4 linked regions of the Saccharomyces cerevisiae S288C genome follow. Changing the gene in region 3 together with the main gene of any one other region gives a genetic interaction. Each region holds a gene or a part of one and is shown on either strand. Other genes may lie near its edges. The genes, in order: RAD26, DGK1, RAD16 and RAD18.

Evidence for each region.
Region 1: of RAD16 (region 3) and RAD26, changing one enhances a phenotype caused by changing the other (phenotypic enhancement), as found in Saccharomyces cerevisiae (8 studies listed by BioGRID, with this or other methods).
Region 2: mutations in RAD16 (region 3) and DGK1 together harm fitness less than expected from each alone (positive genetic interaction), as found in Saccharomyces cerevisiae (2 studies listed by BioGRID).
Region 4: mutations in RAD16 (region 3) and RAD18 together harm fitness more than expected from each alone (negative genetic interaction), as found in Saccharomyces cerevisiae (2 studies listed by BioGRID).

What each region holds. Positions count from the first base shown.
Region 1 is NC_001142.9:493,393-503,126, reverse strand, and holds RAD26 (DNA-dependent ATPase RAD26), read right to left. Parts: upstream 5,773-9,734; coding exon 2,515-5,772; downstream 1-2,514. Other genes in the region: putative E3 ubiquitin-protein ligase HUL4, read left to right, coding at 1-2,414; PET191 (Pet191p), read right to left, coding at 6,118-6,444; RAV1 (Rav1p), read left to right, coding at 6,676-9,734. UniProt on the Saccharomyces cerevisiae protein: May be involved in the preferential repair of active genes.
Region 2 is NC_001147.6:896,638-903,885, forward strand, and holds DGK1 (diacylglycerol kinase), read right to left. Parts: upstream 3,292-7,248; coding exon 2,419-3,291; downstream 1-2,418. Other genes in the region: RNA-processing protein NOP58, read right to left, coding at 188-1,723; 60S ribosomal protein eL20 RPL20B, read right to left, coding at 3,613-4,130, 4,557-4,557; SPS4 (Sps4p), read right to left, coding at 5,221-6,237; YOR314W (uncharacterized protein), read left to right, coding at 6,406-6,735. UniProt on the Saccharomyces cerevisiae protein: CTP-dependent diacylglycerol kinase that catalyzes the phosphorylation of diacylglycerol (DAG) to phosphatidate (PA). Controls phosphatidate levels at the nuclear envelope.
Region 3 is NC_001134.8:465,631-470,120, reverse strand, and holds RAD16 (DNA repair protein RAD16), read right to left. Parts: upstream 2,874-4,490; coding exon 501-2,873; downstream 1-500. Other genes in the region: LYS2 (L-aminoadipate-semialdehyde dehydrogenase), read left to right, coding at 1-373; transcription regulator CYC8, read left to right, coding at 4,351-4,490.
Region 4 is NC_001135.5:228,143-235,874, reverse strand, and holds RAD18 (E3 ubiquitin-protein ligase RAD18), read right to left. Parts: upstream 4,376-7,732; coding exon 2,912-4,375; downstream 1-2,911. Other genes in the region: GTPase-activating protein SED4, read left to right, coding at 1-2,750; HCM1 (Hcm1p), read right to left, coding at 4,871-6,565; U2 snRNP complex subunit BUD31, read right to left, coding at 7,084-7,557. UniProt on the Saccharomyces cerevisiae protein: E3 RING-finger protein, member of the UBC2/RAD6 epistasis group. Associates to the E2 ubiquitin conjugating enzyme UBC2/RAD6 to form the UBC2-RAD18 ubiquitin ligase complex involved in postreplicative repair (PRR) of damaged DNA.

The sequences.
Region 1 (9,734 bases), on a different chromosome or scaffold from region 3:
TCCCACTACGGTTTCCAGCCTCCATAACGAAATTTCGATGCAGCGCATGCCAAGTAACAGTTATTGTAAAGGAGCCGGAAATTAACAGTAATTTGGAATCTAGTACGCATATTTCGTGCACATTAGAGGGTTTGCAGATGGTAGTAAGGCGGTGCCATGATGATTTGCAGCGGCTTAAGAAGACTGGGATTCTGGATAAAGAAAGAAAGGGGTTGATTTTCCAACCGGTAATAACGTATTTACTGGACAGATTTCATGATGTTAGCATTTTAAACAGGTCGTTCTTGGTACATGATGGTGGAAAGAATATAAAGATGCTGAATTATGAAGTTTTACAAAGATTTTACAGTATATTATCAAATCTTCCTACAAGGAAACCGTATTATAGTATGCTGTGTTGCTGTAACGATCTACTGAAGAGAATAACAATCAATAAAGGGGAAAATTTGCAAATATTACAGTATCGTTGGTTGCTGATTATATTAAATATACCTACAATACGAACCTGCCTTATTAGAGATCGGAAGAGCAAAAATGTGTTTGAGACCCAACAAATAAGGGCGGTGTCTTATGAGTTGGCCAAACGATGTATTGGCTACTTGTCTAACCTATCAACAAAAACATCTCAACAATTGATTCAATCATTACGGCGAACGCCTACGGATAATTTTTCATACCAGGTAGAGATTTTAAATTTATACATCAATTTCCAATTTTCCAGATTACTGTCGAACGAATTATCAAATAGAACCGCAAAAAATAACGTGAAGCCTGAAGATGAGATGCGATCTCGTCTTCGTCGGCATCACACTACTGGCCATGAATTCCTGAGTACTAGACCAATAAGTGCACAATCAAATGATAAACAGGGAAGTGGTTTCACGCATCCCGTCAATAATAAGATGAAATTTAAATTTTTTCAATATGAGGAAGACTGGCATATTCACTCTGCAGCAAAATTGACGTTCATCTATTATGTAGCCAATACTAGAAGAAATGGCCGTGGAGCGTTGTCAATTCAAAGCTTTTACAATATAACGCTAGACTTCATAGATTATAAACAAGATTTCGATCATTGGAGAGGAGTAGCTCAAAAGACAAAAATGAATCAACTGATTGAAGAGTGGGGAAATTCGACGACAAAAAAATGTTTTTCATTCTGTAAGTATCCATTTATATTGTCACTCGGCATCAAAATCTCTATTATGGAGTATGAAATTCGCAGAATCATGGAACATGAAGCTGAACAGGCTTTTTTAATTTCACTGGATAAAGGCAAATCCGTAGACGTTTATTTCAAAATCAAAGTACGGCGTGACGTTATTTCTCATGATTCATTGAGATGTATCAAGGAACATCAAGGCGATTTATTAAAATCGCTGAGAATAGAGTTTGTTAATGAACCTGGAATTGATGCGGGAGGGTTGAGAAAAGAATGGTTTTTCTTATTAACAAAATCGCTGTTTAATCCGATGAATGGCTTATTTATTTACATAAAAGAAAGCTCACGTTCATGGTTTGCCATTGACCCTCCAAATTTTGACAAATCAAAAGGAAAAAACTCACAACTGGAATTATATTACTTGTTTGGAGTTGTCATGGGGTTGGCGATTTTCAACAGTACCATATTAGATTTACAATTTCCAAAGGCGCTTTATAAAAAACTATGCTCAGAGCCTCTGAGTTTTGAAGATTACTCGGAATTGTTTCCGGAGACAAGTAGGAACTTAATAAAAATGCTCAATTACACAGAGGATAATTTCGAAGACGTCTTTTCTTTAACATTTGAGACTACGTATCGAAATAACAACTGGATTTTAAATGACAGTAAATCGAGCAAAGAGTATGTAACGGTAGAATTATGTGAAAATGGCAGAAATGTGCCAATAACCCAAAGTAACAAGCATGAGTTTGTCATGAAATGGGTAGAATTTTATCTGGAAAAGTCCATTGAGCCACAATACAATAAATTTGTTTCAGGTTTTAAAAGGGTCTTCGCAGAATGCAATTCTATAAAATTATTTAATTCTGAAGAGCTGGAGAGATTAGTGTGTGGTGATGAGGAACAAACTAAATTTGATTTCAAATCGTTAAGATCCGTGACAAAGTATGTAGGTGGCTTCTCCGATGATTCCAGAGCGGTTTGCTGGTTTTGGGAAATTATTGAAAGTTGGGACTATCCATTGCAGAAGAAATTATTACAATTCGTAACGGCATCTGATCGTATACCTGCAACGGGTATCTCTACTATCCCATTCAAAATTAGCTTGCTAGGGTCGCATGATAGTGATGATTTGCCATTGGCTCATACATGTTTTAATGAAATATGTTTATGGAATTATTCCTCGAAAAAAAAACTAGAACTGAAATTACTTTGGGCAATTAATGAATCTGAAGGTTACGGGTTCCGCTAAGAGTCTTCAGAATATACATATACACATAACACATACATATTTTTTATAGATATTTCTATGGGTAAAGTTACGTCAAGGGTACTCTGTCCATTCTAAGTTTTCATGAAGCATTGTTATTCCTAAATTCTTCATCAAGCACCCACCCTTTACGCTCTTTATCAAACTGTGCTATGGTTTTTAATAATGCTCTAACCTTAATAACGTCTTCTTTATCAGAAAGACTGACGCCAATGCTGTTAAGTATGCTAACACTAGATGAGAAAAAGTTATTCTGTTTCTGTAAATATGCCCGAATATTTTCTAGCGTTTTGGTATTGGAATTGATTTCCTTGGATCTTGCGAAGGTTATACCATCGTCGTAATTTTCTTGGCGAGCTTCCTTGGATGCCTCTTTTTGTGATTTTGTAATATTGCCTAAAATGGCAGCTGATCCAGTTAATTTATTTTTCAACGGATCTCTCTTTCTAATTTTACCTGCTTTACCAAACCTACCTGTCCAAGTAGGTGTCCCAATTTCATATTGCTTAGTGATCTTTTTTCTCGATTTCCTTAGCGCATTAACCGCCTCAATCGCTACTCTGGAAGCCTCTTTTGTAATTATATTCGAAGAAGAACTGCCCGCGTGCGAATTGACAACCGAATCATGACTCATAACGGTTTCTAAATTGCTCTCTCCTCCTAGCAACCCTTCGATTAATCTATCATCCTCTGTTTTACTATTCTCTTTTTTTTCCTTACCGTTATAAAAGCTTTCTAGTTTAGATACGCCAGATAGGTTGACCAGTTGTTCAAAATCGTCACTTTCCTCTGATTTGGAATTTTTTAAATTTTCGGTATGTTTTTGAACTTCTTCGTTCAATTCTTCTGTAGAATAACCGTTTTCACCCCCCAGTGAAAACAGATCATGGAGTTCGTGAATTTTGAAAAATCGTTTCTGCTTAGGATCAGTCAAAATCCTGTTGGTTAAGAATTGTTTGAATATTTGTCTATGATAAATCTTCTCCTCTATTGAACCTCCTACCATCAACCTATATATTGATACCTCTCTTTTCTGCCCAATCCTCCATGCCCTTTCTCGAGCTTGCATGTCAGTAGATGGGTTCCAGTCTGGATCAAAAATGATAATTCTATTAGCACCGGTTAAATTAACACCTAGCCCCCCAACTCTTGTGGTTAGTAAGAATACATCGAAAGATTCATTGTTAAACCGGTCAACTAACGACTGTCTCCCTTTGATATTAGTTGTCCCATCCATTCGTAGGTAGTTCAAATGTGATAAATCGGGATCTTTCGTTGATATAAACTCCTCTAGAATATCGAGCATTTGTCTCGATTGAGTGAAGAGTAGGGCTTTATAGCCCTGCTTATGCCACAGTAATAATAATTGCTTGACAACCTGCATTTTTCCGGATCTTTTAGGATCACCGTAATCTGGATTATGTCTCTTTGTATCTCTGTCAAGTAAATCGGGGTGATTACATATTTTCCTTAGAATGTCGATACCAAATAGAACATTTCTCTTACCGTTTTGTATTTGGTTTAAATCTGAAGAATGCAGAAACTCCAAATATTTGCTTCTTTGATATTTCGTAAGCTTACAAAAGAGAACCATTTCTTTCTTTTGTGGCAGATCTTTTGCAACATCAGCTTTCACACGACGTAACAGGTACGGTGAAATCAAGTCACGCAATGCAACAGCACATTTGTAGCCGGTCTGAACTTGTATGTTTGTTGCGTTTGCATAACCACCAATATTTATAGGTATGACAAACTGTTGTTGAAACACAGGTAGAGTTCCTAATTTACCAGGGAAAATGAAATCAAAAAGCGACCAAAGCTCGGTTAAATTATTCTGTATCGGTGTTCCTGAAAGAATGATCCTATTATGTGTCTTCAGTTTTTTGCAAGTCAATGAAATCTCCGAATCTGGGTTTCTAATCTTATGTCCCTCATCTAAAACAGCATACTGCCATTTAACTTTTAGTAGCTTATCTGAATGTATTCTTAACCCAACGTACGTGGTAATTAAAATGTGCCCATCAGTAACGACTTTATCTATCAACTTATCTAAATGATAGCTTGATTCCAATGCCTTCTTTGTCCTTGTTGAGTTCTTCCAATCCTCGTAAGAAAAATCACTTGGCTTTGAATTCATTATCAAGTTCTCTAGATCGTTTTCATCCATCTTAAATTTTTGGTCAGAAGCCATTCCTGAACCCATTGAGTGCAATATGACCGTCCTCAATGGAGGCCACCAATGCTGGAACTCATTACACCATTGCTTCATCACAGTTGCAGGACAGACAATTAATACAGGGCCTGTTAATAGACCTGAATGATGCAACGCTGCGATAAATGCGATAACTTGAATCGTTTTTCCCAGACCCATTTCGTCACCAATAATACCGCCACAGTTCTGCTGGTAAAGCTCATAGAGCCACTGAACGCACGTCTTTTGGTAATTAAATAACAGCGAGTATATTTCACCGGGTATTTTGAACTGGCTATTAAGTTTTGCGTCGGGAATATTCGGATGAGGTCTTCGCCATTCTGGCAAGTCCGATGACCTTTGACTACCGCAAGAACGTTGTTTCACCCATTTTTTTAACCTTTCTTGATAATACAACTCGTCCCCATCATCCTTCGCCTCACCAGGTTGGCCTCTGAACCGCAGGTCTTCCAGTTCTTTGAGAATTTTATCGTCATTTTCTTCTTCTTCGTCATCTTCACTCTCTTTACCACTCATTTGATAGTCTTGATCGCTGAGATTGTCATCCTCATCCGTTAAATTTTCTACCATTTGTTCTGTTGCCATTTCAAAATCCTCATCTTTTTGTTCGTCATTCTTGGCATACTCTCTGTTTGCAGTGTCCAAGCTGAAACCAGCCTTGTGTCCAAATGCAGTGATCTTACCAGTCCTGATTAAAAACTCCTTCTCAGTTTCACCGGGTCTCTGCAGCCCCTCTTTGGAACCTTTATTTTCAGCACCTTGATCTACCTGCTCTTTCAACTCTTTAATCCTTGATTGGATATCGTCTATGTCCTTCAGAACTCGTTCAATATCGTCTGATTGTAAGTTCTTGATCTGGTCTCGGAGATTCTGCTTAACAGATATCCTAGTGGTATTGTTCAACTTCCTTGTGAGATGATTCTTCTTATTGACATAACGTTGCAGAGCGGTCTTACTCCGTTCTAGACGAGTCTCTTCTTGCTGCAGCGATTGTAGGTTGCTAAAGTTAGTTACATCATTAGCTATTTTTTCCTCCAAACTGCTTTGGGAAAGCACGTTAACTCCCAGATCTTTTAGTGACTCATTGTTTTCAAGTTTCGCATTGTCTTGCTGCTCTTTATCTTCCATCACTGATGTATGTTTCTCTGAGCAATGTTATATATATATATATATATATATTATCAAACCTCTTCCCTTCTTTTTTTTTCTTCCACTTTTATTGCATCGCCCTTAACTGAAATGAAGCTAAGGTATAAATTTGTACTTAGACTGATTATAATTTCTACTTACGGAACTTGTTAAGTGCATTTTTATTGTTCTACCCTCTATTTTTTAAATGTAATGTTCTTGAATACGCTACATGCGTATATATATATATATATATTGTAAGAGGATTACTGGACAAACCGAATAAAAGAGCTTGACGCATATATTTATTTATGTATATATTTACAGGCCAATTTTCATAAATAATCAGTCCTTCTGCTGGCTGTTCAGAAGTTTTAGCTTTTCCATCTCCTCCCTCGGATCAAACTTTCCTTTGCACAAGTTTTCGTACTGTTGATCGTACTTGCCAGTCGACAGAGGTGCGTTACCTGTGAACCGCTTAGTCATGTCGACGATTCCTCGCTTACAATCCAAAAATGCTTTCATCTGAGCAATACAAAGTTCGGGCAGATCCTTATTCAGCTCTGGATTGTCAAGACATTCTTGAGGGTTATGTCTCTCTATCATGACACAGGGCGATCTCTGCAAACATATAGCGACAGCCTTCTTCTGATCTTTACAACTAGCTACCATTCTTTGATATCTACAAACGCACTGCAAATTTATTTGTGTCTATTCTGTTCCGATTAATTGTTATGGCAGCCTTTTAATATACTATCCCTCTTTCTTTAAAGCTGCCCGCATAGCGAAACCTCGTTATGTTATTGTTTCAAGCACTTCAGTTTTTTTAATAATTAAAGGGATCTAAGAACACCGCAAACAATTGAGAAAGTAAACAAACGTGCACACGCAAAGGTAGTTCTCATGTCATTGAACTTTCTTCCAGGACGCCCCAATGCTACCCCTCAGACAGCTTGTCAAGCAACATGGCAAAATCATACCATCTTTGCATATTGTTCAGGGAATAATTTAATCATACTTACCAACAAATTCACTAGGTTACAGACCATATATACACAATCAGACTGTACTGCGGTCGATATTAACAGCCAGAATGGATTCATTGCCCTTTCCTTCCACAATAGGGTGCTCATCTACAAGCCCATTCATCAAATTATGCAGAATCCCAAGTGGACCCAATGTTGCCAGTTGTTCCATGATGACACGCCAGTAAACTGCCTAAGATGGTCTTCTGATAATGAGTTAGCCATTGGATCTGATTTTCTTTCTTTTTGGAAAATTAAGGATAATTTTGGTGTGTATCAACCTATTTTGCAGTGGAACCAAAAACAGCCTAAACCTGTTTATAATGTGATTATATCACAAGATTCGCAGCTGATAGTCAGTATTGGGAAGTACGACTGTAATGCTAAACTATGGAAGCGTGTTTCAATAGTCGGAGAACAAGCCATCTTTAACCTTACTATGTTGCCTCATCCGAAACCTATAACTGCAATGCGGTGGAAAAAAGAGCCAGACCAGGTGAGTAAAAACAACACTGCCTCTCATGCTCTTTATACGCTGTGTGAAGATAAAGTTCTGAGAATATGGTCTTGTTTTGAAATGGAGAAAAACCATACTGTGCAAATATGGGGTGAAGTGCCTCTTTCCCCCACGCAGAAGTTCTGCGTGATAATAGACAATTGGATCATTAGGCAAACTCTCAGTGTGAAAGACTCGGAAATCTTTGATATATCTGACTCAGACATTGTTATTCTGGGTTCAATGACTGGGGAAATGGAAGTTTTGGCTTTGAATAATCTTTCCCAAGATCCTCCAAAACCAATGACTAAAAAGACCATTTCCCATAAAAAAGTCAAGAAAGCAACTATGCTAAACGATACAAGATATTTGTACCTCCCCGAAATACAACCCTATGACAATGTGAAGGGCAAACTTTCTTTTCTCGTCCACGATTTACAAGGTGTAATCAGACATTTACTAATCGACATTCTGCAGCTTATAAACAATAAAACCGAAGATCTGAGTGCCGCTTTAGAGCACAAATTTACGGGACATAACAAATCTGTGCAGAAGTTGGTAAGAAGCAGCGACGGCGAAGCTTTATTAACCACTTCGAGATTCTCAGAAAATGGCGTTTGGTACCCACAAAAGTTAAACCATGGGGTTTCACTGCGGTTACAAAATACAATACAAACAGAATCTCCCATAAAATTTGCAGTTGTACATGAGTTGGGTAAACAGGTCATCTGTCTTCTCGAAAATGGGGCTTTACAAGCCTGGGAATGTCCAACGAATCGTAAGGAGGACAGTGAACAGAAGCAATCATATTTACGTGTGGAAACGAGACTGAAAGAGGAGAAAAAAATCCATCCAATAGTTATGTTAAATACACCTGAGCCAAAGCATAGTCATGAGCGTCATTTCACCGCGTTAATATTCTCTGATGGTTCAATCAAAGCTTTTGAAGTCTCTTTAACACGTGGTATTTTTGAAGTAAAGTCTGATTCATTAGATATCGATGGTGACGACATATACAAGATCTCCATTATTGACCCTGTACATCAAACTTTTGTGAGTAACAGGCCTTTGATTTCTTTGATTACTAAAAAAGGTCTTACCAGAACGTATAAAGCCATCGTTAATTATAATGATAGGCATGTCCAATGGATCAAGGCATGTGAAATTAACACCGGAATAATGAATTGTACATGTATTAGAGGATCATCTACAGGTAAGTTATGTATTGTTAATTCTACTGGTAAAGTAATGTCACTATGGGACCTGAACAGGGGAGTTCTTGAATACGAAGAAACATTTCATAATCCTATCGAGGATATAGATTGGACAAGCACGGAATATGGCCAAAGCATTGTCTCTATCGGATTTACAGGATACGCTTTACTTTATACTCAATTAAGGTATGATTACACGAACAACACACCTAGTTACCTACCTATTGAAAAAATTGATATCACAGCACATACAGCTCATAATATAGGTGACTCCGTATGGATGAAAAATGGCACGTTTGTTGTTGCTTCCGGAAATCAATTTTACATCAAGGATAAATCTCTGGATTTGACTGATCCATTTACGTACCAATCAATTGGTTCAAGAAAAATTTTATCAAATGATATTCTCCATTTAAGTAGTGTTTTAAATGGTCCACTTCCAGTTTATCATCCACAATTTTTGATTCAAGCCATTTATGCGAATAAGTTACAACTTGTCAAGGAGCTGTTATTAAGATTGTTTTTAGCGTTAAGAAAATTAGACTTTGAATCGCAAGATGTATCTAATTTGGATTCCAATCTAGGAATGGATCCATTAAAGTACTTTATTGCTAAAGATAGAGACTATCCGGTCGAATCTTTCCCTGATCCATACCCCTGTTTCAATAAGACAGTGTCTCTAGCACTTACTGAGCAACTAACGAAAACAACTTTGCCTTATCTAACCCGCCACCAGCAGATCACGCTTATCACAGTCATTGAAGCAGTGGATGAAGTCACCAAAAATGAGAATATAGTAGATTACAACGGTGTTAGGTTCTTGTTGGGCGTGAAGTTATTTTTATCACATAAAAATATTCAAAAAAGCATATTGATGAGGGATGTGTCTTGGGCATTGCACTCAGACAATAAAGAAATATTATTATCTTCTATTGACCGCCACATAACCTCATGGAATCGCGCTCGAGAATATAGAATAGCCTATTGGATTAAGGAGCAGGACTTGGTGAAGAAATTCGAGGATATTGCAAAATATGAATTTTCCAAAGATGATAAGAGGGATCCAAGCCGTTGTGCTATTTTTTATCTTGCGTTGAAGAAAAAACAGATACTATTGAGCTTGTGGAAGATGGCTATTGGTCATCCTGAGCAGCAAAAGATGGTTAGATTTATCAGTAATGATTTCACTGTACCGAGGTGGAGAACGGCAGCACTCAAAAATGCTTT
Region 2 (7,248 bases), on a different chromosome or scaffold from region 3:
TCAAATATATCACCTAAAAAAAATAATAAGTTCAATTCAATATGGGCGTACAGCACTAATTTACAGATTATGGAATAAAATATGAAATGAGAAATAGGTTAAGCATTGGATAATTATAGAAAATTTTCTAAATCCAAATAAAAGGGAACGCGAGGGGTCACTAATTATTAAAATGTAAAATGCATCCTTATTTCTTCTCTTTCTTCTCTTTCTTGGACTTCTTTTCCTTCTTCTCTTTCTTCTCTTTCTTCTCCTTCTTTTCCTTCTTTTCCTTCTTTTCCTTCTTGTCCTTCTTTTCCTTCTTAGCTTTTTTAGAATCCTTGGAATCTTCATCATCGTCTCTCTTTCTCTTCTTTTCTTTCTTTTCTTTCTTTTCTTCCTCTTCATCATCAGAATCGGATTCAGAATCAGAAGCAGCCTTTGCGGTATCAGCATCTGCATTGTAGGCCCTAGCTTCAGTCATTTCCACCTTCTTAGCCTCACGAACAACCTTTGGAGTAGTTCTTAAATCTCTACCTTCTAATTGGGATAATCTATTTTCTACTTTGGCTCTTGATTCTAGACCAATGTCACCTGAATCGTCTCTATCTTCAGCTAAAGCATCATAACGCAATGAGACAGCGGCCTTAGCAGCCAGAACTCTTGCAATCTTACCTTTGTTCTTACCAGTAGCTTGACCAACAAGAGAGGCATGATATAGCAAACCATACTTTGGTGTATCATGCTTGGTCTTTAAAGCTCTGAATAAAGCCTTTTCGGCACCTAATATTTGGATGGTAGAAGCTGGTGATTTGGCCAAGGAAATTAAGGAACCTGAATGAGCGATAAGTCTAGCACCAACTAATTCACCAACCAACTGAGTCAAGTTTGGAGCAATAGCCTTCATTCTTGCAGACAAGTAATTGGACAACTGTTCTCTGTAAGCGGCAAATTCGACTATTTGTTCAGCTAAAGCATTAATGTTGTCTAGATCGGTTTGAGTGATTTCAGTACCCATAGACACTTCAGCAGCGGTTTTGACACGTTCTTCAATCTCTTCTGGTAAGATTTCACTCAAATCTGTTTCAGAAGCCTTGGATCTGATACCCATTGTTAGAATAATTCTCGCATAAGCGACGGAATCAGTAACAATCTTAGCTAACTCAGGAAAGTGCCACCCGTACCATTCTTTACATCTCATGGCATATGTGTTTAATTCTTTATCTAAATCATCCAATAAAGCAATTGCTTGAATAATCATAACATCAACTTTGTCAGCAGAAAATTTTAATTTGTGACGACCGATGGAATGAGCTAAACCCAAAGACATCTTGCTTAGATCATTATCAGACATACCTGGCAGCAATTCTGGCAAATATTCTTTGATAGCTCTATAGATATCTAAGGTTACAGCATCGGAAACAACATTGAAGTTCAATCCCAACTTATTAATAGCGTTTGCCAGTTTAGTTTCACTAACAATCAAGGTCGACTTCTTGTCCTTTTTAATTTCTTCCAGAAGTTTTTCTAATTGGGAAGAAACTTTACCTTCAATAATGGAGTTGGCTTCCTCTAAAGCGTTAGCTGCAGAGTTGAACTTGGAAAAGGCGGCGATCTTGAATTCCTTCAAGACTTTGTCAGAGCTATCCAAGTCTTGAATTAAGCTTGAAGATTTGTAGATTTTCTTATCGGAAGCTTTTAAAAGAGCATAACCAGCTGAAGTTTCAGTTAAAACGTAAGCCATTGTATGAGGAGGTTGAGGTTCTACAGCTAATTTGGTATCGACTGCTATTTCAAAAATAACTTATATGCGAAATTTTTGCGAAAGCATAAATAATTCTTGCTTTTCTGAAAATTTTCGATGAGGTTGAAAAATTTTCCAAATTTCTTTTTTTCTGTTCTAACGTACACAATGATATCAATATCAATAAGGCCACTGGGCGGTAATCGCAGATAAACCATATATCCTTGAGATGCCAAGATAAATGAACGCTGGTTCAGGATCTTGGTAATCGTATTTCGCAGGATTGTTCTTTTTTATTGTTCTCTGATATGATTGCTTTGTGACAAAGTTGGGGCATGAAAAAGCCTTTTTTTACTGATGAAAATATGGTGTAGGTTTACGATTAAATAATAATGTTGCGCCCCATTTGGATGCGCTTGTTGGCACATATATTAGTAACATAAATGTTTTCATAAAACTGCTTGTGTCGAATGTTTCTAATGGCGTGAAAAATACGGAAATACTGCTGAATAATTTACACAGGTTCTAACTCTATACTCGGATATGTAGGATATTTAGAAAAATAATTTGTGGATGCCAAAGATCGAAGAGGTGCTGGATCGTTAACCACAGATAAACTGAATCGCGCACTCCAGTTACTGTAAAAAAGACTTACCGAAGAATATAAAACACTCCTGTTTTTGGTATATATGCTTTTATTTCTTGAATGTTTTGATTACTGCGTTCATAAAAAGTGATGACAGGACAGGAATAGTGAAATTATCATCCCAGTTGAACAAATCTATACCTTCACTCAAAGCAGCTACCACACCACCTAACAAGGATAGCATATTCAAACTTAATCTGCTTGTTTCTGGGCTCCATTGGATCTCGCCAGGTTTGTTGACGTAGCTGTAGGCAGGAACAAAATAGCCATAAAATACCCAGCAGGTGATAACACCAACTGTAAACGCAGCTATCGAACCTGCAAGGGATTTATTTCTTGCCACTTTGGGTGTTAAATGACCATACTTTCTTCCAATAGTTGCGGCGGCTGTATCGGACCAACTTAGCAAAAATAACGATATTAAGGTAACATCTTTAGAGAAAAAGTTAAAAGAAAAGATTAACCCAAGAATGTACCACAATACCCCATTGTATGTATGAATCTCCTTTTTTCTCATTAGCGCACCCACAGTTCTACAGTAAAGCATATTGAAAAAGGGCCAGTTTAGTCTTATCAGATCCAAAATAAACAATATGATGAAGGCGTATATCAAAGGCCATAAAACATTTTTATAATTAATACCCTGCGTATACAGGTACAAAGTAATAAAGCCAATGGAAGAATGGAACACCTTACGGGGAATTTCATGTTTAGTTATAAAATCGCCGAACCATTCATGAGATTTCAAATGTATTTCTGTCACTGGAACGTGTGCATCGTCATCGCTACTACTAATTTCTTCTTTTGCTGGAATCGTTACTTTCGCCGAGACTTGATGACTCTTAGATGATAGTCTTTGCTTAGCTTCGGTACGCGGCTCTAGCGTGCTATTTGGAAGGGCAATGGCATCTTCGGTCCCCATATTGTCTGTAAACCCTGTATGAATCCAAATGACAGAAATGCGTAGATATCTGTTTACGTAATGTTCAACTGCTCTACGACAACACCGCTCAGGATTTTTATAATTACGCTACGTTTTATATTTATCGCAGAAAAACCAATAATTTGTTACCCGCTATGGACCCTGGATTTTGTAAAGATACATGGCATGACATTGTGCTTTCACGCTGGTAGTGCATAATGTAAGAGAAGAAACAGGATATATTTTAAAATTTCCTTGAATCTACAAAATGAATTATACAAAATTTTATTATACTAAAAAACGTAGAAATATCTTGTTGGCTTAGTAGAAGGTTGATGGTCTCTTGTAAGAGAAAGTCTTGGTAGATTTTTGGACTCTGTGAGGTAATGGGAATTTTAAATCCTTGGTCAAGAATTGCTTGACGTATTGTCTCTTGACATCAGCAGTCTTTTCAATTTCAGCAACCTTCAAGATGTGAATAGATCTAAATCTAGCTCTGTGTCTAGCAGCCATGTCTTGGTATAAGGTTTCGACGGCAGCAACTCTGGATACGTCTCTGATTTCCTTGTACATGTTGTGAGTACCAGATCTGGAATCGTATCTAACCCAAACACCGAAGTTCTTGACCTTGGTTGGGTGAGCTTCGTTGATTTGGTTGATGGAAACAATTTCACCAGAAGCCTTCTTAACCTTGTGCAATTTTTGCAAGAAATACCAGTAACGAGACTTGGCGATGACTTCATTTGAAGCAAAAATTCTCATTCTGAACAACTTTGGTTCTGGAACGGATTCAGTTGGTAAACGACGACCAATGACTTGGTATTCTTTGAAATGAGCCACTGTTAAAGATAAAAATCAAAAAAGAATTTATTCTTGTTAGTAAACTTGCATATTTCAAAAATATTGCTTTATTGCAGACAATTACATGTAAATGAATGTTTCAAAATAGATCTCTGATTCAGTTAATTTCCTCTATAATTCCTGGATGGTAGTTCTATAGTCCTCATGTGAAGACTTCTCAAATGATATTAACCATATCATCAGTATTAAATGGTACACCGCCTTCCTTCTAGAAGCAATTTATGGTAATAATCGTATTCAGTATTCGGCGTATTTCAGGAAAAACATTCACAGGTTGCATTGACTTATTGGGTATTCTTCAGTATTTTAAATTTCCACGATATGTTCATTCAATTTGAGCTCACCATATAAAATAGCTACATTGACATTCATTCCACAAGCATACAATACATTCTATTACATACTTTTTCTTTGCTTGATTCCTTTGTTACGGTTCTCTTCTATTATCTTCTGCAAAAATAATGCCCTCAAAAACGGTTATATCTATCTATTAGAGTTACTTCTTCGTACTGTTGCCAACTCGAGCGGAAAGAAATTAGACAGAATCTGGCGGAAAATTGAGAAAGAGCTAGACAGACTATGCGGAACAACTTGGAATCTGCCTCTGTCCGTGTGGCCTGGCCCTGGCCTGGGAAGTAACTGTCTAGGCCGCGGACATTTTTCTCTTCGGTAGTAAGCCGCCCTACTGGTCATGGGGTTACCTGAAAGAGATAAAAATTCAAAGATAGCATCGCGCCGTCGGAAACGTAAAATGTACGGGTGAACAGTCCCGAAAACCGTATTTATTGTTTTGGGGAAGAGCTTGTTTACTTCGTGCCTACAAACAATCAGCACCTTAAGATATGACAGAATAGCTTGCTATTTGATTTTTTTTTTATCTAGCTTGTAAATATTTATTAAGCCTTTCCTTACAAAAAAATATATTTTCTTTTACCTCTTTTTTATGTTGAGCGTGTATACATTGGTAAATTTAAGTTCAGTGCTTTCAATAGATAACACCTATTGAATTTGCGCCAGTAGGTACAAATTGAAATTCTCGCCTATATTAAAATTATTTTCTATGCGAACTTATTGTACTAGATGTGGTAAATCTCCTCCCTCAGATTTGTTGCCAAAAAATCTAAACAAACTTCTATCGGTGACAGAGGCCCAAATTTCGCGTTCTAAATCAGTTATGGTATCCCAAGTACCTCTCAATACATTTTTCATTTTTAAATCGGCCTGTTTGTCTAAGTTTTTATTATAAACAGAGTTTGTATGATATCCATAGGCAATGGGAAGCTTTGCAATACCAACAACTTGATGACTAACTGCAGAAACTGCTCTTGTCATAAAATTGTATTCTAAAGCTAGCCCCCTATTAAACTCACAAGAAAAGGAATCATTTGGAACTTTCTTACCTTTGGGCAAATACTTTACCGTTACCTTTTCGAATGTATTATTGACTGGTAACAAAACAGGGTCAAGTTGCCCCCTTATCAAAGGCTTGCCCTTTGTGTCTATGAATTTTTCATTATAGTACTTCCTAAATTTCATCAACCTTCCATGGACAGGTTGGTAAACATAGTTGTCTCCATTTCTTGCTGTCGTATCCCTGAGCTGCTTTCCATACTTTTTCGACAAAGTATACGGAAGTGCAATTTCCTCACCTAATCTTTTATAAGTTTTTGTTTTCAAAGAAGGGACAACGCGCTCTACTGTACTTAAAGTCGAATTGGCCATCTTGTCAAAAAAATTGACCACTGGTGCTACGGCTTGAACGGGACGTGACACTACCACTTTATCGATTCTAGGCTTTGTTTGTGCTAAAATAATTCTCGTTAGAGCAATCTTCTTTGCAATCTCTTCTGTTTCTTGCACTATTGGATAAGTTTCTATGTGATCAACTGTTTTCAAATTTAATCTACCCCTCCTAGCTGCATGTTCATTTGCACTGAGATTACTGTTTTCGGTAAAATTTTCTGTAACTGCTTCTTGTGTCTGCGATTGTTCCATTTCATTGGGTTCATTCGTGTTTTTGTGTAAAAAATTCTTATTTTCTTCTTGTGGTTTTGTAACCTTCACTATATTCAAATTTGATGGCATGTTTGTTGAAATATGTTATGTGAAACCAATGTAGCAAAAACAATTTTTTATGTTCTTGTTGCTTGCCTCTCAAAAATAACAAAGGAAGAAATTTTGTCGAAAGTGTAGTAGAAGGAGGTAAAAAGTGAACACTTCTTAGCAATTTATAGTTCCAAAATTTATGAATTAATGACAATGATACGTTTTTGTGGCGCGCGTCAATCGGCGATAATCAGCAACGCGTCTGACGCTGCTGCAGGAACCAACAAAAAAAGGATACTAAACCCTCTTGAGTCCTTGTGTCTTAACGACCGCATAGACGAACACCGTTGCAAAGAAGTCCAGTTATCTTCATTACGAAGTCTATTGTATGCTATGATTTTAAATAGAACCATAGGCAGCGAGACCGGCGTTTTTTCTTTTCTGCTCTTTTCTTTTCGTTACTTCGGAGAGGAAAGAGACTTATTTTACTGCTTCTTCTCCGTCTTTTTACTTAACATTACATATTTATTGGATTAGAACTTTTGTATAGGGGTAAACAATACTGAGGATATTCATAACTATCTTTTTTAGGTCTCCTTGGCTCTTTTAAGTAGAACAAAAAAATCTAGGACAGTTGCTTTGCCTTTTCAATGTCAGTTAAAAAAATAATGGAAACGTTAGTTCCCACCCAGAAAGACAACAAAAAAGTGTTTTCTTTTCGAAGTATTCCAAGATTTCGTTGTCATGGCATATCGGTACAATCTTTTGGTTGGAATGAATAAAATCAGTTATCGTCCCACCAATGGGAATAGAGCATATAATGTTATCTCAGGACAGCAGTGATGTCCAAGAAAGTAACTACGAGAGTTTTACTATACTACATATTATAAGGACAAATAGTTGCATAGCAACAAGCTTGGGGGATAAACATCAAGAGAATGCATTGAGTTACTACGCAGGCCTTAAAGTAAGGCGATTCCACGGCAGTAATTAGTTTAGATAACAACTTACTCTACTGCGAGCTCTTCTTAAAAGACGTGTCCTTTTAAG
Region 3 (4,490 bases):
AAGCTATTCTAAATGGAAGAAATCATTGGAGGCGTCTGTTATTGACAGGAATGAAGAAAATGCGTTGTATCCTTTGCTACACATGGTCTTAGACAACTTACCTGAAAGTACCAAAGCTCCGGAACTAGACGATAGGAACGCCGTGGCATCTTTAAAGAAAGACACCGCATGGACAGGTGTTGATTGGTCTAATGGAATAGGTGTTACTCCAGAAGAGGTTGGTATATATATTGCATTTTTAAACAAGGTTGGATTTTTACCTCCACCAACTCATAATGACAAACTTCCACTGCCAAGTATAGAACTAACTCAAGCGCAAATAAGTCTAGTTGCTTCAGGTGCTGGTGCTCGTGGAAGCTCCGCAGCAGCTTAAGGTTGAGCATTACGTATGATATGTCCATGTACAATAATTAAATATGAATTAGGAGAAAGACTTAGCTTCTTTTCGGGTGATGTCACTTAAAAACTCCGAGAATAATATATAATAAGAGAATAAAATATTAGTTATTGAATAAGAACTGTAAATCAGCTGGCGTTAGTCTGCTAATGGCAGCTTCATCTTGGTTTATTGTAGCATGAATCATATTTGCCTTTTTTTCCTGTAATTCAATGATTCTTGCTTCTATACTATCCTCAATGCAAAACCTTGTGATCTTCACAGGTCGATACTGACCAATTCTATGAACTCTATCACCACTTTGCCATTCAACACTAGGGTTCCACCATGGGTCTAAAATGAATACTTGCGAAGCTTCACAAAGATTCAAAGCAACACCGCCCGCCTTTAAACTGACCAAGAAAACCTCGCATTGAATGTTGTTCATGAAATACTTGATGGTTTCATCTCTTTGCGTCGGTGACATACTACCCTGAAGCTTCACTGTTTGAAATCCAGCTCTTTTCAATCTCCACTCTACCAGATCCAGCATACTGGTAAACTGGGAAAACACAATGGATTTAATCGTTCTCTTGTTGCTTCTCAGTTTGTATAGTTCTTCCACAAGTGCTTCGATTTTCGTTGATGATTGCCACTTGCCACTCATGTTTAGACGGCTAACAATACTTTGCTTTTTGAAGGAATCAAGGTCCACTTCCAAAGCAGGTTGAGACAAATCGATACTTAGCCCGATATGACAAACAGGACAAGTAAGTTTATTGTTGTTTTCCATGAAAGATTCCACATATTCTTTGATGCATAAACGACAGAACTTATGGTGACATTTAGATTCAATGGGCTCCTCAGCTTCATCGTTACATAATTGGCAGATCACGACGCCGATATCATCGCCAGGAAAATTGTTTAATCTTTTCAAAACTAAATCAGGATGATCTGCCAGTTGCCTCATTCTTGTGATTAGGGTGAAAATGTTTGCATAATTGTTTAGAACAACACCCTCCTCAACAAAGGAATTATACTTCCTTTTAGAATCTGTGTATAAACTTCTGTAAAGATCTTTTTCCTCTTCATTGAAGAAGTCTCTCCTCACGGTAACAATTCTGGGCGGTAGACCCAAGTCATCCGCTCTTTCCACTTTAGTTCTTCGCAGCATGATGTTTTTCAATAATGTCTGAATGTTATTAAAAGACTCTAAACCAGGACCTTCCACACCAAATTTCTGAATGTTCTTCAACATGAAATGGTTGAAGAAATTCGTGTGTTGCATAATGACGTGACTACAATGGTCACAATGCATGCGATCCGTAAATTTCCAGTCCTTCGAAGCGCAATCACACTTGGTACAAAAGTACTTTGTGAAAGGATTGATATTTAAGAATCTGATCAAAGAATACATCTCACCAATTCTATTTTGCAGCGGAGTACCCGACAGGCACCATCGCTTTTGCGTTTTTAAGTTGTTTACAGCCCTAGCAGTATTGCTTTGTCTATCCTTGATATTGTGTGCCTCATCCAGAATAACTCTATAAAAGTCAATATTATGCAATACGGAAGGCTGCTTGAAAAGTCCATTTTTCCTTCTAAACCCGTAGTTTTGCTTTCTGAATACCGATTCCAGCACTGCGTAAGTGGTTAGTACAACATCGTAGCCTTGCAAATCTTTGATATCCGTGGTTCTGGAAGCACCGTGATAAATGTATATTTTCAGTTGTCCCTTTGTATGTTGTTCTATTTCGTTTTTCCACTGCATCAGCGCCACGGTAGGGGCAACAACTAAAGACGGAGACTTAGTCAAATCGTTCATTAATAGGGCAATAGTTTGGATGGTCTTACCCATACCCATTTCGTCTGCCAAAACACCGCCCGCATAAATGCTCTCCTCTTGAGATATTAGCCAATGAAGACCTTCTAACTGGAAAGGTAGCAGTTTGATGGTCATACCATCCGGCTGCTTGGATCTTTGGGGGACATAGGGAGGTGCATTTTTCAAATCCGTGAAAACATTCCTTAGTTCAGGATGATGCTCATATAATCGCAAAGTGTTTCTTTCATATGGGGTTACCTTCGGTGACTTTTTCTTGGTGCTCGTTTTTTTCTTCTTCTTCCTAGCAGTTGTCTTCCTTTTCTTTGTTAACGGTTCGTCGTCATCCGAAACATCACGTTCCTCCTTGATTTCTATTATCTCGTCATTATCATTCTTGATCGCATGAGTATTCTCATCGGTGGCGGTCCGCTCTTTATCTGAACCTGTTAGGTCTATGATAAAATCTTTGTCATCGTCGTCGGGTGATTTCACGAGCGTAGCATCATCACGGTATTCTTCATCTTGGCTGTCATTTACGTTTTCGCTGTTCCCTTTCAGCTGCAGAGTTTTTGAGTTTTTCACAGCTGTATCGTCATCGCTTAGTTCATTATAATTAACACTTTTTTTCGTACTTCTCGTACGCCTTCTACGGATAAAGCCCCCTTCTTGCATGATTTTTCAGTTGGTACACCAGTTATACGGCCAAGAGTATCTAAAATTACCAAAACTACTAAGGTTTGAAAACACCACGCAGCATTACGTCGTTATACTGTCGGTTTTATTAGTCCTTAAGGTCCTATCTGTGCATTTTTTTTATAGCGTTAATCCGAAACTTGAAAAAAAAAAGAAAAGGGAAATGAAAAGGGAAGAAAAAGAAACGGAGGCGCAGGAGGAAGGAGGGGGGAAAAATAGAAGCAACGCAGAAGTCCCCACTGTTTCCCTGGCAACCATGGCGGGAAAAGGGTAACAGATTTTTTCGAGGAGTAACACATTTTGTGCTGTGTGGGTTGGTAGTTTTGGCGGCTAAAAATCAAAGGGAAGAGGGGATGTACTACTTTCAAACCTTCTCACTTTTTGTTGATTTTGAGTGCTGTAAGGATTGTGGTTTAGGCATTTTGACAAGCTCCTTAAAATCTAAGCGTCGGAACAACTGACGAACTTTAAAACCATAAACTCAAAAACCGGTCAACATGAAACCGTTACGGTTTCTCGGTATCCTATGCTTTAAGCTAATGAAACATCCACATAACGAAGATAAAAACTAAAGCACATCCGATCTGAGTTTTGAGCTGGGCGGCAAAAACAAAACTGTCAGTGGCTGGCTGATACAGGGCACGTGAGAGGTCACTGAGGACGAAGGGTGCGGCTCACCCGGATTGGCTGAGTCACCTTCATCGCGTCCACGTCACTCCTCGTTCGCTTTTTTTTTCCCTTTTCTTCTTTTGTGCACCACTCAGGGCACGAGAAAAGCTTATTTTTTTCGTGCACACTCCGTTCTTAGTGGTTGTTCCACATCTTTTTTGTGCTTGTGCGTTTGCCAATGCTAAAATGGAAATTGCCTTATAACGTGGGCCATGTCATGCCGTGTCCTCTCGTTTCGTAAAACTTACCACACGTACCGGACTGTTCCGTCCTGTCTCGTATCGCACGGGTGCCGTATCGGCTCTAATTATTTTATCTCTCTATTTTCTTTCTTTTCTCTGCGCTACTCCTTTCTCGATCGTTGCTACTCCCGTCGCTAGCCACTGGTCTCCCGCGTACTGTACTCCATCTTTTTTTGGCGTTTTTCCCCTATCCAACTCGAACAAGGTTTGTTTAAATTTATTTTATTTTTCTTTTCTTCGGTCGGTCGTTCTTTTCCCTTCCGATTATCAAAGCAAAAGCGCATTTTTTTCTTTGTCTTTTTGTTTTTTGTTTCCTGTTCTCTGTTTTTTTACAAACCACGTCAGGAGTTCAATTGAGAGAACTAGAATCAACAAAGCCAAATACGACAACGTCACTAGTCTTTGAACCAGAGGCGTATTCCCGTTACCTCTTTTCCCATATTTCTGTTTTTCTTTTTCACTGCTATAAGCCTTTAGACTAGTACTACAACTACAACAGCAACAACAACAAACAAAACACGACTGGAAAAAAAAAATTAGGAAAAATGAATCCGGGCGGTGAACAAACAATAATGGAACAACCCGCTCAACAGCAACAACAACAGCAACAACAACAGCAGCAACAGCAACAGCAGGCAGCAGTTCCTCAGCAGCCACTCGACCCATTAACACAATCAACTGCGGA
Region 4 (7,732 bases), on a different chromosome or scaffold from region 3:
TGATAAGAATCATTGACCCGCGTAATTTGACGGAAAATTACGAAATTGAAACGGGTAGGGAAGTTAATGATTTGCACTTCGCCCCTAACGGTATTCTTTTGTCATATATCACTTCTAATTCTTTGGAAGTAGCGTCTGTTAGGGACGGAAATTTTGTAGCAAGGAAAACGGATTTTGATAAAAATCTTGTTCTTTCTAATATCAGGTTTCTCAATGACAATACGCTATTAGTGGCAGCATCATTATCGAACTCTGATGGAGTTTCCTTGTTAAAACTAGGTGTGAGTTCCAAAGGTGTTAAAATTTTAAAAACAGCATCCTTCATGTTCGATTTGAATGGAATAACATCGATGGATGTCTCCCCAAATAAGAAGTTCGTTGCATTATCATCTAACGATAACTTGGTTGCCATCGTCAGCGTTGAAAAGCTAAAGCTTGTTCAGTTGGTTCCAAGAGTACATGAATCTACTATAACAAAAGTTACTTTTTCTCCAGATTCTAGATATTTGGCAAGCACTTCTATGGGGAACACGATCAACGTTCTGAAGCTTTCCGGTACATCGTCATCAATTTTACGAAATATTTGGAAATTTTTCTTGAATTTTGTTTTGTTAGTGGTTTTGGCTGGCGCTATTCAACTAGGCTACAAACATAATGTGCACGGCTTTATTTACAAACATGCTCATGATATATATAAGTCGAAATTCAAGGAAAACACTACCATAGACCAAGGATCTTCTTCTTATTTCACTATTAATGACGATTACAGAGGCATTACTGAAAGTGCAGATATCATCAGCGCTACAGATGTTGCTAGCGATATAGAGACTGAATTTTCCTCATTTGACACTAGCACTATGAGAACCACCACAGAAGATGAGCAAAAATTTGTTTGGATATCGTCATCAGCTGATTCACAATTCACTTCTGCAGATATCCCAACATCAGCTTCTTCTTCTTCTTCTTCTTCTTCTTCTTCTTTCTATGAAGAGAGTGTCACTAATGAACCAATTGTGTCTTCACCTACCTCTGAAATTACGAAGCCGCTAGCCTCTCCTACAGAACCGAATATTGTCGAAAAACCATCGCTTCCACTGAATTCAGAGTCGATAGATTTGTTATCCTCATCTTCAAATTCTATCACAGAATATCCTGAGCCGACTCCTGACTTGGAGGAGAAATTGTCCTCGTTAATAGTAGAACAATCAGAAAGCGAAATAACAACAGATAGAGAAAGCGTTTCAAAACTCTTAAGTACTGAATCACCTTCGCTATCACACATGCCGTCTTCATCTTCATCTTCATTATCTCTTTCCTCATCGTTAACAACTAGCCCTACTACAGCATTATCCACAAGTACCGCGACTGCGGTTACCACCACACAAACAAACCCCACCAATGATGCAGCCAACACATCTTTTCTAGACAACTCAAAACCGGCATCCACGAGAGAGATTTATAAGACAAAAATAATCACTGAAGTCATTACAAAAATTGAGTATAGGAATATACCTGCATCAGATTCCAATGCAGAAGCCGAGCAGTATGTTACAACATCTTCTTCAATGTTGTTGACGCCCACAGACACTATGGTTTCTTCGCCCGTCTCCGAAATTGATCCCATAGCATCAGAATTAGAGCGTATGGTTGAAACACCTACGCATTCTATTTCTATAGCATCCGAATTTGACTCAGTTGCGTCTAATTTGATCCCAAATGAAGAAATTTTGTCAACATCAGCATCCCAGGACTCTATTTCCTCGCATCCGAGTACATTTTCTGATTCATCTATAACCTCTGGCTTCCAGTCAATAGAAGTATCGACTGTAACTTCTTCTGTTCTTGCTTCTGAATCAATCCCTTCAATCTCAGATTCCACTTTTTCTAAATTTCATTCCATCTCTGAACCTGTTTCATCAGCTATTGTGGAGACGGCAACTAGCTCATTCTCAAAAACAGAAACGAAGACTTCGAGAGTAATTGCTTTCTCTACCGAGGATTCAGAACGCTCCAGTGCCTTGATTGATAATTCGGAATACACCAGTGTGTTGGCTGACAATTTGGAACCCACTAGTGTTTTGGCTGACAATTCGGAACCCACTAGTGTTTTGGCTGACAGTTCGGAACCCACTAGTGTTTTCACTGATGCTGTACAATCACCTAAGACGAGTGTTGGTCAATCTTCCCTATCAGAATCCACAAATATTGAAGGGACTTCTATGGCATCTATGATCTTTAGTAGTAGTGGTGCTTCAATTGGCGCTCTGTCTGATATAGGCAAGGGAACTTTATCCGTGGAGAGCGCGTCAAGCACAGTAGCTCAGCCGATGCCAGGTGTAACCACAACAGCACCATCTTTTGTAAGTAGCCCTCACAAAATATCTGCTAGTTCAATTGATGCATCAGGATTTGTACAGAAAGAAATAATGATAGAAGTACAGTCATCAAAAGATTCATCTGAAGCGTTTGGGGTACGCCACAAAATCAGCGAAAATGTAAATACTCCTGTTTCCCGAATGCTTACGACGGAAATGCAGGCATCTGGTACGGTAGATGTTACCGAAGACGTCTCTCTATCTAGTGAAGTTATTTCAGCACTTAACGTGGAGATCACTTCTTTGCCTAATCCAGTGGCCCCTCCGCAAACAATTGCAGCACCTTTGAATAATAATTCGAATACAAACATTGTCAACGATGATAATGCAGTAGCAGGAACCGTAAACTACGCTGGCCTTCATGACGAATTGTGAATAACGAAATAATATATATTAATGTTAAATATGATTACATAGCTTTGTGCACATATCTCTATGTCATCTTTTATGCATTTATATTTTGCCCATTTTTAAATAAATTATTAATTAACAAATGTGCACAAGCTAACAAACAGGCCTGATTACATATACACACCTTAATTGTTACCGGGTGGGTCTTTACTATATTCATTCAAGTCCATTAATTCTCTTGATAAGTCAGCATCAGTTGAATCTTCGTTAGGCAAATTTCTTTCACCAGCAACTCTATCTTCGTTGATAACAGTGTCCTGATCCTTCTCCATTTGCTGATCCTCGGTTCCCTGGTCACTTTGAACTTTTTCAACACCATCTCCATCATTAGAATGTCCCACTGAACCTGAACTGTCCGATGAACCTGTTTTTATTTTCATTTTTGCTTCCCTGATAAGCCTAGCAAAATCCTTCCGAAACATAACCATCCATCCTTTCCTATTAAATTTATCGTTTTTGAAATTTTCAAGTAATTTCCTATATGAAGAAGATTTCCCATTACTCTTCATTATCATTAATTTAGAAATTCCACCCTTGTTGCTACTATTTTGGGGGGTTTTATTGTGTGAAACATCCCAGCTTAACAACTGTCTTTTTAGTTCAGCTTCATCAACAGGTTCTAGAGAATCACAAAAATTAGAATTCCAAAGCATTTCGTAGTGATTGTATCTTTTAATCATGTTTTGCCTAGTACCATTAGTTGACAGTCCCAACGATGACAGTTTTTGTTTTATTTGGGATTGAGTCATAGACGTAAAATTGATCTTCGGCAATCTTTGGTGTTCTGCACTCATCATTGAGTTTAAATACTTATCCACATGTGAGGTCTCACCACATGAGCTTTTGTCGACTTCTGGAGTTCGTACCTTGAATCTGGATGAACTTTTGTTATGTGGATTTGACTCTGTAGGGAAAGTGGTAGAAATTTTTGGTTTTTTGCCTAGTGATTGTAAAGTTAGGCATTCATCCAAATGTGTTTTTTCAAGGGCTTTAAGAGGATAAAATTGTTGACATATGGGGCACTGGGCCATTTGTTCATTTGGCTTTGATTTTTTCTTGATACGTTCACTTCTGAACATTGCAAAATTCCTTTTGGATGGTTTGGAACTCAGTGGTAATATATCAGTCATGGATCTTTTGGCAAGTTTTCTTTCACTTGTTGCAACAATTTGCAAGTCATCATCAGCGGCATTTACACTGTCACTTTCAGACTCTGATATGAGTTCTATCCATGAAGAATTTTCAGGACCTGGTACTTCCTCATTCTCAGGGACAGGGGTAGGCTTCGGTATCCTTAGTGCATCTAGTAAGGAAGATCGTAGGGATGTATAACTTTGAATTATTTCACTGACCAGGAACTCACTTCTCAGCAAGGACTCTCTGAACTCGAAAAGGCAGAGAGGACAATTTGGTTGGTTATTCAAATGTGTTCTAATACAAAGGGAACAAAATGTATGGCCACAAGGTGTTAAGACGGGGACTTTTAGAAAATCTTTACAAATGTGACATCTCAAAAGTGTATCCAATTGGTACAGGCTCGGTATTGAAGTAGTCGTGAAGTCGCTTGCAGTGGTTATTTGGTGGTCCATGAGTAGTAAAAATGGCCTTTTCTTAGTAGCTGTGATGCTCACTTGCGGATGGTTTTTCTTCTAATGTGGCATTGCTCAAGTGGTACTTAGTTTTTCACTTTCTATTGAAAAATGCAAGGCAACGGGGCAAGTAAAAATAAAAGAGATCAAAAAGGTAAGTGAAGTGAATGGAAACTTCAGCTAAATACTGTATTAAAAATCCGTAAGGATCAAAAATAAAGATATGTAAAATATAAAACTTAGAAAAAAAATTTGTATCATTTTTGTTATGATTACAATTTTTTCCTGCCTCTTCTGCAATTGATTATACCATAGAAGAGCGGGAAAAGAAGTTAGTTGACCCGACAATACAATAAGATTAAAAAGAAAATGCTATGTGATATGATAACTCCAGCCCAGTTTAGGACTCATCCAACCGTTTGCGATGAATCCATCAGATTAAGAATAATTAGTTTTCGGTGAGGAAAAGAAAATGAAAAAAAAAAAAAAAAAAAGTCAATTCTTTTCATTACCGCTATCGTTGGAAGGGTGATTATGATAAGGATGATGTTTTTGATTGCTATCCGTAGTATTGTTACCATCAGAAATCTTTTCAGTTGCGCGCTTCCAAACAGAATAAACATCCACGCCAAACAGCCCGCTTGAAGCAAATTTGGAATTCGTTGCGCTTGTGAGGACATCGGGTGCAGAGGACTTTCTTGGTGAAATTTGGGTTTCCAAAGTGCCCCCCGGCGTCGTGATATACCTGATTGGAGTCTCTATAGCTCTAAATAGCGGAGAACAGTACAAATCTTCAAAAAGGTGTGAAGGAGTCTGCCATTTCCTCAAAATCGAGTTACCGTCCTTAGGTGTGCTTATCAACCGCGATGGGGTTTTCTCTAAGCCATCGGAATGCCTCATCTTGGGTGTTTTAAGTAAGTCCGAACCATGAGAGGAAGGTGGAGGTGGAAGTTGAGAATTGGAATATGATTGCTGAGATTGTGGTTTCGACATGAGCGCAAGATTTTTCTGATCGTACAGCTTCAATGGGGAATACGGAAGTGGGTCGAGTAGAGAACCAGCCCCTACATTACTTCGAAGTGGAGATAAATCTTCAAAATTTGAATTGAATGAGGTGAAATATTTTCTGAAATTCTGAGGAGACTTTGCGCTAGTTATAGGGAGTGTATTAAATCTATTTGCCTGGGTGATATTATTGTTTTTCACACCCGCCTGGAAATGATCTTTGGCATTCACCAGCGACGGTAAGCCTAAAGAAGTATGATATTTCTTCATGACATAAGGAGGTTCCAAGGAATCTATATTGTTGACATCGTTTTCTATCATGTTCCGCATCGATTCTAGGTTTTCGTGAGGGTTCAGTACACTGTTGTCTGTTTTCAATTGCGGTATGTGATGTAACTGGGAAACTCTCAGTATAGGGGAGGAGTTCAATTGAATTTCAATGGAAGGGAATTTCCCTGCTTCCTCTCTTTCTTCCTCGTCAGGAAGATCATCATTGCCTTCTCCACTCTCAACTTGTTCTAATTCATCAAGTGTAGAATCTATTTCAAAATACTTCCCAATGTCTTGTAAGGAGTCCTTTACAAATTCATAACCACGATTTTCACCTTTGAAAAATTTTGTTTCGGCACCCGGTCTGACCTCCCAGAAATGACCCTTACCATCGCAGGACTTTTCAGTCTTGATGAACGCATCATTTAAAGACAAGTTATGTCTTATTGAATTTTGCCAACTAGCATCTTTCTGCTTGTAATAAGGGAAGTGAACGTGGATCCAATGATATATCTGGGATAGCGTTAGCTTTCCCTCCTGAGATTGCAAAATGGCCAAGCAAATCAAAGTTGCATACGAATATGGAGGTTTCTTGGCGAGTTCACCATTTATTCTTCTTCTTTCCAAAGATTGAAGAATTTCTTCCAAGGTTAGGTTACCATTGGACCGAGCGCATGTGTCCGATCTTTGGCGCTTGGCCTTAGATGGAGCAATTGGGGACGAGTGATCCGGTGAGAGGGGATGCGACGGCCTCTTATTTACTTCCTTCATTGTTTTTCTCACAGTTGAGCTCGGGGGAGTAATCATTTCCTTTTCGTCTTCTAGTGTTCTCTTGGCTTGGGTTAATAGCACGGTGCTTTTTTCCGTTAAAAAACTATTATGGCCATCAATGATGGATATGTCTTCATTCATCATTGAAAAGTTGGAATTTTTGTTGATTTTTTTTTTTTTTGCTTCGAAATAAGAGGTAGTTTCGGTCAATAAAAGAAGCTCAAATAGTAGATGTAACTATAATAAAAGGGGGGAAAAGAATAGAATACGATTTAAAGCGTTGGAACCTCTGTTAAGATATACTCTATATGATTTTCAATTAATCATGCAACATATATTTAAAGTTTGAGAAGGATCAAAGGGCACCGTAAGGGAGGAGAAGAAGTAATTTTTTGATTTTAAATGAGGACGCGTTTTAGTCAGTGTTTCAGATCCTTATTACATCCACAGGTTTTAACGCGTTATCTTTGTTCCGAAAAAAAAAAAAAACGGAAAAATATATTTTTTCGCGTCGCGTTCTCGCGTCTGTTTTGTTTTTTCGCGTTCCAATGACCAAAATGGGAAAGTGGTCGTCTTTGACGAAGGAGACGAAAACCTCTTCTAAAACGTTGGGAGAGAGATAATTACATGGCCAGAACAATACTGCAACGTGCATATAGTCGTTAGTCTGTGCTTGCACATCCACGGCAGCCGCAGTGGACGCACTGATGGAAGGACACCTGTGTGCCCTTTTTGCGTGCTTCTTCCTCTAACTGTGCACGAGGCACCCTGCAGATGCAAGTGCTACCGTTGTTAGTTTCGTTCTTTTGAATGCAGCGCAGACAGCACAGTTTTTCATACCCGGTTTTGCGCCATTTGGCAATTAGCAATTTATCAGCATACTTTTCCTTTATCAACCAATCGTAAAGGTCTTTGGAGATGGCCTTTCTCTTGTAGTACAGAGTATATATGTATCTAGAGCGCTGGTGGTGGAGTTGCATTATCTCCCAGAGCTGCTCATTGGACTTTGCTGCGAGCTTAGACGACTTGTCCTTTTGGGCATCTCTGAGTTGGATTTCGAAATCTGTGAGGGTTGGCTTGATTTTTTCGAACCCGTCAGGTGCAGGCTTGGATCTTCTGGTCTTTATGCGCGGCATGTCGTTTTGTGAGGTGAGCTTTGCTAGTCTTGACGGCTGTAGAGGTGTTTACATTGATGATGAGTCCCTAAGAAAATTTTTCTTTTTTTTTCAGTATTTCACTTTCCGTTGTGAACGACAAATGTACTATGCGTTCAAGAGCCAACGCAGTATCATCGTCAAAGTTCCTACCACA